Ovis aries: one gene and its partners. The protein of the gene in region 2 interacts with the protein of the main gene of each other region in a pairwise test. Links are inferred from orthologs where the notes say so. Each region holds a gene or a part of one and is shown on either strand. Other genes may lie near its edges. The genes, in order: SFR1, EXOC1 and RESF1.

Region 1 (3,749 bases), on a different chromosome or scaffold from region 2:
ATCTAAAATTTATTATATTTTTGTTGTTTTCTTAAAAGAAAATGCATGAAACATTTTAATAATTTGTTGGTAATAATTTAATTACACAAAATCATTACTAAAAATACTTTTTATTGTACTCTGTGGCCCATTTTTAGCCTTTTTCTCTTCACTGTCACTGTTGCTTCTGTTCTCATTGCAATTTGCAGCTAACATTTGAAACTTCTAATACTGCTGTGGGATGGAAACTAGAGGGAAAAGCTTCAACTGCATATTAAATGTGGGCTGGGGCTTTCAAAAATGTATACTTGGTGTTTAAGGCCTCTTCTCTAAATCTATGACTTATATTTGAGTTAAAGTTGTTGGAAGCCAGGTCTCTTGGTAATTGGCTTATTTCTAAGTATTGTAAAATAAAGTTGTATTTTCTTTTTGAAATATTTTCCTACCATTTATCTAAAAACAAACAAACAAAAAAATTATTAGGCAACGGCTCTGAAATTCTTCTCACCTTTGATCTATACATTTTGACTAGCTTCAGCCTCCGAAGAAGATCTTCTTTCTCGTGAATCTGCTTCATCAATTCTGCTTTTTCTTTGTTTAGTTCATGCTTGGCAAGATTCTCATTCATAAAGTCATTTTGGAGATCACTGGATGGCTCAGCATCAAGTGATTTAGATTCACAAACATTGATATTCTTGAAGGTATCTTTCAAATATGTACTTTCTTCAAATTCACTATCTATGTGTTTAAATTTTTCGTGAAATTCCAAACAGTTTTCTTCTGTTGAAGGTGCTGATTTCTGTGAAAAAGTCTGATCATTTTCCTCACTCTCTACTTTAAGCCGTTTTACCACACTGTAACAGGAATTAAATGAAGATCTGGTTTTCCTTAATCGTTCTCTAAGGGTTGCACTCATAGGCTGAAAAAGGCATCAAACGTTAATGTCAATCAAGAAAAACATTCTTGATATAAATAAATCTACTAGGAATCAAGACTACATTTCTGTGGCAGACACCACTAGATGGCTTTCTGTCTCCATATATCTAAAGTAACCATCACAAAATACCTTTCAATTTCTGGAAGCTCCACTAAGTTTTATTCTCTTTTTAAGCCAGCACTCTTCTACTCAGTAATCACAAACATTTGTTCAGCAATTAGTCCAAGCCTGATATGGTTAGGTGCTTAGTTACAAATTAAGGAAAAAGATCTTTCCACCAAAGACCTCCATGACATCAAACTTTTTGTTTGGAATGCTGTAATAACCTGAACTGAAAATAAATGAAAATAATTGAGTCAGGATGAAAATCTAAGAGGAAGGTCCAATACATTTTCTAAAAGGAAACACCTAAAATGATGTTAACAAAAATTTTATTTATTAACCTACACACTATTGACAATGTTCAGTAGACTTAAAACCACCATTACTGCAATACTTAGAAATATACATCCAGTGAAAGAACTAAGATTTTCATACTTGTTTTCTTGAACTACTTGAATGGGGAGATGGTGGATTGGCACCAGCTTGTGGAGTGCTAGGTAACATCAAAGCCGAGTTTGATGGACTTTCCATCTTGAAATCTTGCTTTACTTCTAAAAAACAGAAAATAATGACAAAACAGAAATCAACTTTGCCCACACCTCTATATATTCAATTTTAAACAACTTCCTTTCACTTAGCTGTGATTCATTCTTGCTTTTTTGCGTGCAATTTTCTGTTTACTTCCCTAAATTAGATTGTTGGTCATTATGGTGACTACTAGTTTTTTCATGACAAGTTACCCAGCTAGCATCTCATATAAACAACTCTCCATTTGTTTTTACTGACTGATAAAAGTCTCAAAACCTGCCATATGGTGGTGGGGCGGGGTAGGCGGGGAGGAGAATAACATTCAGGAATTCTTTAATCTCATTAAGCCAGTTTCACAATGAAGGAAAATGTAATTGAAATCCTTTAGTGCTTTAAGTGCAAATCGCTCAGTCGTGTCCGACTCTTTGCGACCCCATGGTCTATACAGTCCATGGCGTTCTCCAGGCCAGAATACTGGAGTGGGTAGCCGGTCCCTTCTCCAGGGCATCTTCCCAACCCAGGGATCGAACCCAGGTCTGCCGTATTGCAGGCGGATTCTTTACCAGCTGAGCCACAACAGAAGACAATATTTTAAAATTAAAAAAATATATTTATAACTTCTTTAAAGTGCTTTTCGGTGTTTAAATTGAGTTCATCTTATGCCTTTATCTATTGATTACTCTTCCTCTTGATTATGGATCACATTCTCCTACTTCCCACTACTATCCCACTTAAATAAACATAATCAGACCTGTCACACTACCCTAAATCCTAGAAGCTGTGTGCCTAAAACTAACGCCCCCCGGGGGTGAGGAATAAGGAGCACAAGCACAGGTAAGTTTACTCCTGTCTGCATCGTTTTCAATTAAATAGCGAAGAGACCGTGAAAAGGAGAGACTTAAGTTTCTCAAAGGCCATCAACTTTACAGGGTAAAATACCAGAGGAGCCCTCCCTCCCCTCCAGCCACTACAGAAGGCCCACACGAGCCCTCGAGACACCCAAAACCTGAGGTGGAGCTGAGAGGTGCCTTGACCGCGGAAAGGGAGCATTATTCAATTCCCCATCCGAACCCCGAAGAAGTTCAGCTGTCAGACACCCACCCCACACCCCGCACGGTACCTCCCTCAGCCATCCCCAGACAGCACAAAGAGCGCGCTAGCCGCGGCGCCGTTTCAGAGGCCGGGCCGCGCGGGAGGAGGAAGAGACGCGCGATTGGCCAGATTGATTGACACACAGGTCCTCTCCGCCCAGCGCCCGGAGAGGCGGGACTGCGCGCGCGCGGCCTCGAGATTCCGCAAGGGGGCAGGACGAAACGGAGGGGCCGTGACGCGTGATTGGCCGAGTTGACCGATACGCGCGGCTCTGCTCCGCCCAGCGCCCGAGAGTCGCGGCACTGCGCGCGCGGCCGTTTGCTGGGAAGAGCTTTAAAGCAACTAACGGTTCCCATGAGGTGCGCGCTTTTCTTCGCGGCTTCTTCTCGCTCTTTTTTCATACCGCCTTCCTTTGCAGCTTCCTGGGTTTTGTGTTTCTAAAGGACGCCTGAGAATGCCCCTCCTGTTCTCCTAGCTCCCATCAGTCTCTTCGCGCTCCCCACAGCAAAGGCCTTTTCTCAGATTCCACGGGACCCAGAGACTCCGGGCCTGCTGTGTGTTATATTTACAGCTTGTAAACTCCAAAGGCAAAGACTACAAAAAGATGGGTCAATGGCCCGTTGACAGTCAGACACATTAGAAATCTAAGAACCCCAGCGGAACCAGTAGAGCTTCTTTTAGACTGCTGCCTCAAAGTCTGCGGTCCCGCCACGGGTGGTTTTTTGTTTTTGTTTTTTTCTCTTCCTTCTTTTGGCGAATCTGTCTGAAAATTTAGGTTTCTTAGCTTGGCTCCGAATCTTTTCGTCAAACCTGAAAGAAAATGTAGCCCAAGGAAAGTCGTTGGGGTGCAATACAGGAAGCAGAACAATGACTAAGATTAGGTTGGTCCAAACCCTGGCTGAATACTGGGCAGTGGCATCCTCGGTCTAAAATAACCCTCCTCGTTTCCTGTGTAGCGAGGTTCCGTTGCTGTGCAACAACAAAGTGAACTAATTGGGTGGAGCACTGAGTTTGGGAAAAGACAGTTGAGTAATTTCTGAGTCACGTGGAAGTTGGGAATTTTAGCGGGGCAGTGTTTTGAATTCTAAGGAATAGCCATTTTAAACGTTGA
Region 2 (3,749 bases):
ATAATATGCCCTTGCTCAACACTTTCCTAATGCTCCCAAAGACAAACCTTTCACTCCAAGCCCTCTGATCATTCTAGCCTTTAAATCTTTGCTTAGGATATTTTCCATGCAGAGGGTATCATCTACCCAAATCCTAACAACATTCCATAATTTACATGAACTTGATTCAACACAGTCAATCCTAAAGGAAATCAGTCCTGAATGTTCAGTGAAAGGGCTGATGCTAAAGCTAAAACTCCAATACTTTGGCCATCTGATGCAACAAACTGACTCCTTGAAAAAGACCCTGATGCTGGGAAAGGTTGAAGGAAGAAGCAGATGACAGAGGATGAGATGGTTGGACGGCATCACTGACTTGATGGAGATAAGTTTGAGCAAGCTCTGGGAGTTGGTGATGGACATGGAATCCTGGCACGCTGCAGTCCATGGGGGTCACAGAGTCAGACATGACTGAGCAAATAAACTGAACTGATTCAATACAGACCTTAACCCAAATTGATCTCTCCTCTCAACTGCTATATCACTTATTGCATTTGTTAAACATACAACACTTGCTGTCCAACTGGTTCATAAAGTCACAAGTTCCTGGATCTCAAGAACTCTCTTCAAGGGACGGGGGGATGGCTGGGGGAGGAGGTGTTTTAGCAGTTTCATGTTCTTTGTAAGTGCTAAACAAATACCTCTTGAGGAAATCTAAGCTGAATTATAAAAACTGGTTAAATGAATAAATGACTATTAGTGGTCAGCATCTATCACCCAATCCCTCTCTGGTCAAAAGCAAGGACTGACAATATGGTTAAGTGGTAAAAACAAGAGAGGAACTCAGCACAGTTGATAAAGGAGTTAGGCAGAATGAAAAGCACTACACATTCAGCAAACACTGATGCCTACTAAGTGCGAGGCAAAATTCTAGGTACCATGGTGAATATGACAGACATATCCAGGAAGACTTCCCTGGTGGTTCCGATGGTAGAGCGTCTGTCTACAATGCGGGAGACCCGGGTTCAATCCCTGGATTGGGAAGAACCCCTAGAGAAGGAAATGGCAATCCACTCCAGTACTATTGCCTGGAAAATCCCACGGACAGAGGAGCCTGGTAGGCTACAGTCCATGGGGTTGCAAAGAGTCGGACACGACTGAGCGACTTCACTTCACTTCTTCATCCACGAAGACAGGAAGATTCTTGCCTCCAACGGCATCTACTTTATAAAGATGGCGTGAGTAACTCTCCAGTGTTTATAATACTTTTTTGGTAAGTCAGTGAATAAATCATTAGAAGTTCTTTAAAACTATTTTCCAGGTATAAGAACCCATGTCTGACCACGTTCCAGAGACAGTCAGCCACAATACTCTATGTCGGTCCTTGTTTCCTTAAATCCAGCCGGATCACTACAGGATGTGGCAGATAACTTGTAAGCAGTACTGTCGTGAGAGTGAGTGCGTGTGGGTAAGTACCCTGTCTGCTATCCAGACACCTTAGTGCATGGAGCACTGAAGATAACACGCCACAGCATGGCAACAGGGAAATGCACTTATGAGATTTAGAAGAAAATGAAAGAAAGAAAGAAAGTGAAGTCGCTCAGTCGTGTCCGACTCTTTGCGACCCCATGGACTGTAGCCTATCAGGTTCCTCCATCCATGGGATTTTCCAGGCAAGAATACTGGAGTTGCCATTTCCTTCTCCAGGAGATCTTCCTGGCGCAGGGATTGAACCCGGGATCTTCCCGACCCAGGGATTGAACCGGGTCTCCCGTATTGCAGGCACACACTTTACCATCTGAGCTACCAGGGAAGAAGAAAATGAGGATTTGGACAAAGAAAGGGAAGGTACTGCCAGACCCTCCCCTCCTGGTCCAAGCCAAAGAACAAACTGTTCAAGACCATTTTTTACGATGAAATCTGATTTTCATGGGCGGAACCGGAAAAGGACGTCTGGGCTGCCCTCCCAGCCCCCCAGGATAACAAGGGGGTAACGGGATCCTCCCACCGGCCTCTCCGCCTTACCCAGAAGGGCTGGGAAAGAGAAGGGGGCTTTGACGGCGGAGTGAGCAGTACCCAGCCCCCGGCGCTAGACCAGCACCGGGACTGAGGAGCCGCCTCAGACCTTGGCGTCCACCCCTCCGTTCATTTGTCCGCCGCCGCCAGGACCGCCCGGCAGCCGCGGCCGAAGGCTTACCGCAAGGCCGGACCGAGCCCGGCTGTGCCGAGGCGGGTCCTCCAAGACGGAGACCGGACAGGACTGGGGCGGCCACCGTTACTAAGATGAACCCCTCAACTAAGCAGTGAACTGGAAGCAGCCGTCCGGCCACCACTTCCTATATCCGGGCACGTGACACACCTCCCTGCCGGAAGTCGGTTGGGTTGAGAAGGAAGCAGTCGCGGCTTTGGCCTTGGTAAGGGGGTGGGGTCAGGTCTCTCCGGAGGGGCGTGTCTAGGACAGGCAGGAGCGGGCCTTGTCGCTGGAGACTGACTCCGAACCTGGGGGATTTGGTGTGCGTATTCCTTTCTCTAGAAGACTTATTTATTCAGCTATTTTCAACAGTTCACTGAAGAAGAGATCTAATCAAATGTTTTCTTTTTTGCACGCCTAAAGTTCAGTTAAATCTAGATCAGACCAGTTCAGTTCAGTTCAGTCGCTCAGTCGTGTCCCTGTGGACTTTGAGACCCCATGGACTGCAGCTTGCCAGGCTTCCCTGTCCATCACCAACTCCCATGAGCTTGCTCAAACGCATGTCCTTCGAGTCGGTGATGCCATCCAACCATCTCATCCTCTCTCATCCCCTTCTCCTCCTGCCTTCAATCTTTCCCAGTCTCAGGGTCTTTTCCAGTGAGTCAGTTCTTCGTAGCAGGTGCCAAAGTATTGGAGTTTCAGCTTCAACATCAGTCTTTCCACTGAACATTCAGCACTGATTTCCTTTAGGATTGACTGGTGCGATCTCCTTGCAGTCCAAGGGACTCTCAAGAGTCTTCTCCAACACCACAGTTCAAAAGCATCAATTCTTGGGTGCTCAGTTTTATTTATAGCCCAACTCTCACGTCCATACATGACCACTGGAAAAACCATAGCCTTGACTAGACAGACCTTTGTTGGCAAAGTTATATCTCTGCTTTTAAATATGCTGTCTAGGTTGGTCATAACTTTTCTTCCAAGGAGTAAGCATCTTTTAATTTCATGGCTGCAGTCACCATCTGCAGTGATTTTGGAGCCCCCCAAAATAAAGTCAGCCACTGTTTCCACTGTCTCCCCATCTATTTGCCATGAAATGATGGGACCGAATGCCATGATCTTCGTTTTCTGAATGTTGAGCTTTAAGCCAGCTTTTTCATTCTCCTCTTTCACTTTCATCAAGAGGCTCTTTAGTTCCTCTTTGCTTTCTGCCATAAGGGTGGTGTCATCTGCGTATCTGAGGCTATTGATATTTCTCCCGGCACTCTTGATTCCAGCTTGTGCTTCATCCAGCCTGGCATTTCACATGATATACTCTGCATATAAGTTAAATAAGCTGGGTGACAAGATATAGCCTTGACATACTCCTTTCCCAATTTGGAACCAGTCTGTTGTTCTGTGTCCAGTTCTAACTGTTGCTTCTTGACGTGCATACAGATTTCTCAGGTGTCAGGTAACATGGTGTGGTATTCCCATCTCTCGAAGAATTTTCCACAGTTTTTTGTGATCCACACAGTCAAAGGCTTTGGTGTAGTAAATAAAGCAGAAGTAGATGTTTTTCTCAAACTCTCTTGCTTTAAAT
Region 3 (3,749 bases), on a different chromosome or scaffold from region 2:
CGACCAAGGAATTGAACCAGGATCTCCTGCATTGCAAGCAGATTCTTTACCAACTGAGCTATCAGGGAAGAAGGGTCCTGTATATCCAGAACAGGGAACATAATGCTTTTGGACAAATCTGCCCTGGCTGGAAAATTTTGTAGAAGCATTACTGACTTCAAACATGCCTGCAGGTAAAAACTAGAGTTGTGCCTGATACTTCCTTACAAAAATAGAACTTACAGGATCTACAGGGAAGGGTTTAATCAACACAAAGCTGATAAACTGATTTAGAGTTTAAATGAGTGAACCATCTCCTATAAGACAGGCCATAAAATATATTTCCTCTAACATGACAACAGCTAAAATTTATTAAGTACTTACCATTTACCAGGAGCTGTTCCAAGTGTGTTATATCTACAAAACTCATTAACTTACCGTAACAATACCATGAGGTTGATACTATTGTTATCTCTATTTTACAAACGATGAGGAAACCGATACAGAGAAGTTTAATAATTCTCCCAAGGCTGCATAGATGGTAAGTGGAAGAGCCAAGATCTGATGCTCAGCAGTGTGACTGCAGGGACCATGGTCTCAAATCATTACAGCAAGTTTCCTAATACTACTTGGGAGTTTACAGAATGGACACCCCAGAAATGATCACTTTGGCTGTACAGGTCCCTATTTTAGAGATTGGTTCTCTCAGAATTCTGCTCTGTGCTGCCTTATCCCATGTGCCACAAGAAATGAATTTGAATAATAAAATAAGAAACAGACCATGTAGAGAATAATGTTAAGTAGACCTCTTCCTCAGTAATTTAGACCATCATCTATTCCTTTTCTAGTAAAGATGAATAATATGAATTCCTTGCTATGTCAACTGTATTATTTCTCCTCAAACTTTGTCATCAAATCCTTTGTAAGCTGGTGGTGGTCTTAGCCGCTCAGTGCTGTCCAGCTATTTGTGACCCCAGGTACTGTAGCCTGCCAGGCTCTTCTGTCCACAGAATTCTCCAGGCAAGAATACTGGAGTGGGTAGCCATTCCCTTCTCCAGAGGATCTTTCCAAGCCAGGGATCGAACCCAGGTCTCCTGCATTGCAAGTAGATTCTTTACTGTCTGAGCCATTGTAGTTTAATACTGAACCAATACTGGTTCAGCTTAATCATTCTGTTCCATAACAGATAAATTAGAGTAGACTACTCAAAGCTGACTCACTTACCTTTAAATACATTACTCCTTTATTACTGTATGTTACCATTTCCCTCCAAACTTGTCAGTACCACTCCACACAGTGTTTACTTCTTTGGTCCTAGGGACAGCAGTAAACATTTTATAATTGACAATAAATTCAATATAAAATTTGTAATTGTATTTTTATTTATATAAAATTCACATTAAACTTATAATAAAGATACATACTAATTTGCTTACTTGATATGACATTGCCGCTCAAACTGTGTTAAGGCTGGATCAAAAGCAAACTAAGCTTACTGAATTCTTAAGAAGACAAAGTAACAAACAGAACTGGGTCTGCTGTAAATTACCATTTACTTTTTAAGTTATAATTCAACTGCACGCCTCCTGATCCACTCCTTCTATCACTCTGAACACTTTCAACTTAACAATTCTTTATCGAATTAGTAAATGAGAATCCAACTGCACAGGAAAAAATAAAACGCTAACTCTTTCATGTTAACACCGATTAGAACTCATCTGATTTAGAGTTAACGCATCAATCAGAAAAATCCCCGAACAAGCTCCGCGACCCGTCTATTTAAATGCACCCTAGCTCATCCCCTTCACCTACTCTTTTTATTTTGAAGGCAAGCATTAAAATATTACAAATAAATTGTTTTCACTGAACCATTCTCTGAAAACTTGCTGTTCCCAAAGGACATCTGCTTAGGAAATTCGTATCCCTCGAGAACATCTAAAATCGGTACGCATTTGTGCATTTAAAAATGCCTCGAGGGACTAACTACTGCTGAGGAACGGAAAGCAACTCCAGCACAAACGTTGTTTGCGGGCCACTTGGAGACGCAAGCTGAGCAATTTTGTTTTGGGAGGTTCGGCCTAATGGGGGTGGGGAGGAAGGGAATACTGGAAAAATAATTCAAAACAAAGATTTTTTTTTTCAAGCCAGCGACAGGAAATCATTAAAAACATAAGCCACTCTCACATCCATCAGTCTAACCAATCGCCTTGCAGTTTAACAAAATGCGTCCTCGCAGTCGCCACCCGCGACCTCTATGGTGAGGAAAGGCGTTCTGCAGAAAACACCCGGCGAGGCGCCGCCCTCCGATTAGGGGTCGACATCCGCCCCGGTTCCCGGCCCTCCCCGCGCGGTGGGCGGGCACCAAGCCGAGCCCGACGGGCCAGCCCTCACCGCTGGCCCGAGACCCGAGCCCCCGGAGCTGCCGCTGAGTCCCCACCACAGAACAAAAGCACTCGCCGCCGCACACCCAGCCCTCGCCTGCGGGCACTTGGGCTGCCGGTGCCCCACCCCGCCGCGCCGAGAACCCGAGGAAACGTGCGAGTGCCGGCGGGAACCAGGTCCCCACTTACCTACCGGAGCTGAACCCAACCTGGGCGAGCGGGGAAAACGCAGCGCCTCTCGGCCCCGGAGTTTAAGTCAACTCGGGTCCGCCTCCAGGGGCGGGTCGAGGGGGAGGCCCACTCCCGGAAAGCCAACCCCGCCCCGGCGCAACGGCAGTAGCGAGACCTGGTATCCGGTACCGGGGTCCTAGTGCCGCTCGGATGAAGTAGAGTCCGGGGAGCCCGGTCCTCCAGTTTCTCCCAAGCTTGCACAGCCAGCTCATGTATCTGAAGAAGAAAACTTCTCCAACAGTGGCTGTCTTTAACTTACATCAGAATCTTTTGAAGGTTGTTAAAAAGGGACTGAAAAGCACCACCTACAAAATTACCCATTCAGTAAGTCTAACTCCGGGGTGAAAACGTATATTTCTAACAAAGGGGAACATCCTTTAACAGAGAAACTTTCTCGAAGGAAATAGACTCTTTTTGCCTGAAGGTTTCTATAGATCAAAGTTGTGAAAATTAATACAGTAAAGGGAAACCTCACCAAAATAGAGTTGAGAGGCCAGAAGGGGGAGCTGTCATACAGTTCGGTACCACTCTCAGTAAATTACAGAAAGAATTGTCAATTACAGGGCCCAACAGGAAAAGATGTAAGCTGTCCAACAAACTTTTTGACCAACCCATACATTGCGGCTCCTAAAAGAAATAGACTACCCCACAACTCAGCCAATGAGAAACTGTCACCCTCACTTTTCCCCAATGATATTTCCTTCAAAAGAACTGCTCCCAAACTCAATTTTCTCCATAAAGTAACTTTGCTTTGTTTGTTGGACTCTGGCTTTTGCTACAGTTTGCTTGACCCAAATTGCAGTTTAGTTACCAAATGCAAACTGACACTGCCTGCTGCATGACTTGCCAATAAATCGAGGGGCCAGTTGTTGGAACAAAGAATAGTGACTTTATTCAGAAAACCAGCAGACAGAAAAGATGGCAGACCAGTGTCCCGAAGAAACATCTTAAACCTGAATTAGAATTCAGGCTTCTTTTATACTAAAGGGGGAGGGAGTGTGGTTGGCTGTTGCAGGTATGAAGGTGTGACCTTCTTGGTGCAGGTCATACCCCCAAGGTGATGTGATAACCCTCTGCTCCTGCAGCTATCCACATAGGTCTGGTTATGATGGTCCTGTAAACATAAAACAAGACAATTGTTATTCTCTGTTCTGTAAT

Evidence for each region.
Region 1: the proteins of EXOC1 (region 2) and SFR1 interact in a two-hybrid assay, tested with the Homo sapiens proteins (2 studies listed by BioGRID and IntAct). The link is inferred for Ovis aries from reciprocal best matches to the Homo sapiens genes EXOC1 and SFR1.
Region 3: the proteins of EXOC1 (region 2) and RESF1 interact in a two-hybrid assay, tested with the Homo sapiens proteins (2 studies listed by BioGRID and IntAct). The link is inferred for Ovis aries from reciprocal best matches to the Homo sapiens genes EXOC1 and RESF1.

What each region holds. Positions count from the first base shown.
Region 1 is NC_056075.1:24,379,084-24,382,832, reverse strand, and holds the start of SFR1 (swi5-dependent recombination DNA repair protein 1 homolog), read right to left. Parts: upstream 2,746-3,749; 5' UTR 2,680-2,745; coding exon 2,667-2,679; exon of another isoform or gene 1,570-2,666; coding exon 1,454-1,569; exon of another isoform or gene 899-1,453; coding exon 488-898; exon of another isoform or gene 1-487. UniProt on the Homo sapiens protein: Component of the SWI5-SFR1 complex, a complex required for double-strand break repair via homologous recombination. Acts as a transcriptional modulator for ESR1.
Region 2 is NC_056059.1:71,998,302-72,002,050, reverse strand, and holds the start of EXOC1 (exocyst complex component 1), read right to left. Parts: upstream 2,332-3,749; 5' UTR 2,177-2,331; exon of another isoform or gene 1,989-2,176; intron 1-1,988.
Region 3 is NC_056056.1:183,477,610-183,481,358, forward strand, and holds the start of RESF1 (retroelement silencing factor 1), read right to left. Parts: upstream 2,589-3,749; 5' UTR 2,554-2,588; exon of another isoform or gene 2,550-2,553; intron 1,294-2,549; 5' UTR 1,204-1,293; intron 1-1,203. UniProt on the Homo sapiens protein: Plays a role in the regulation of imprinted gene expression, regulates repressive epigenetic modifications associated with SETDB1.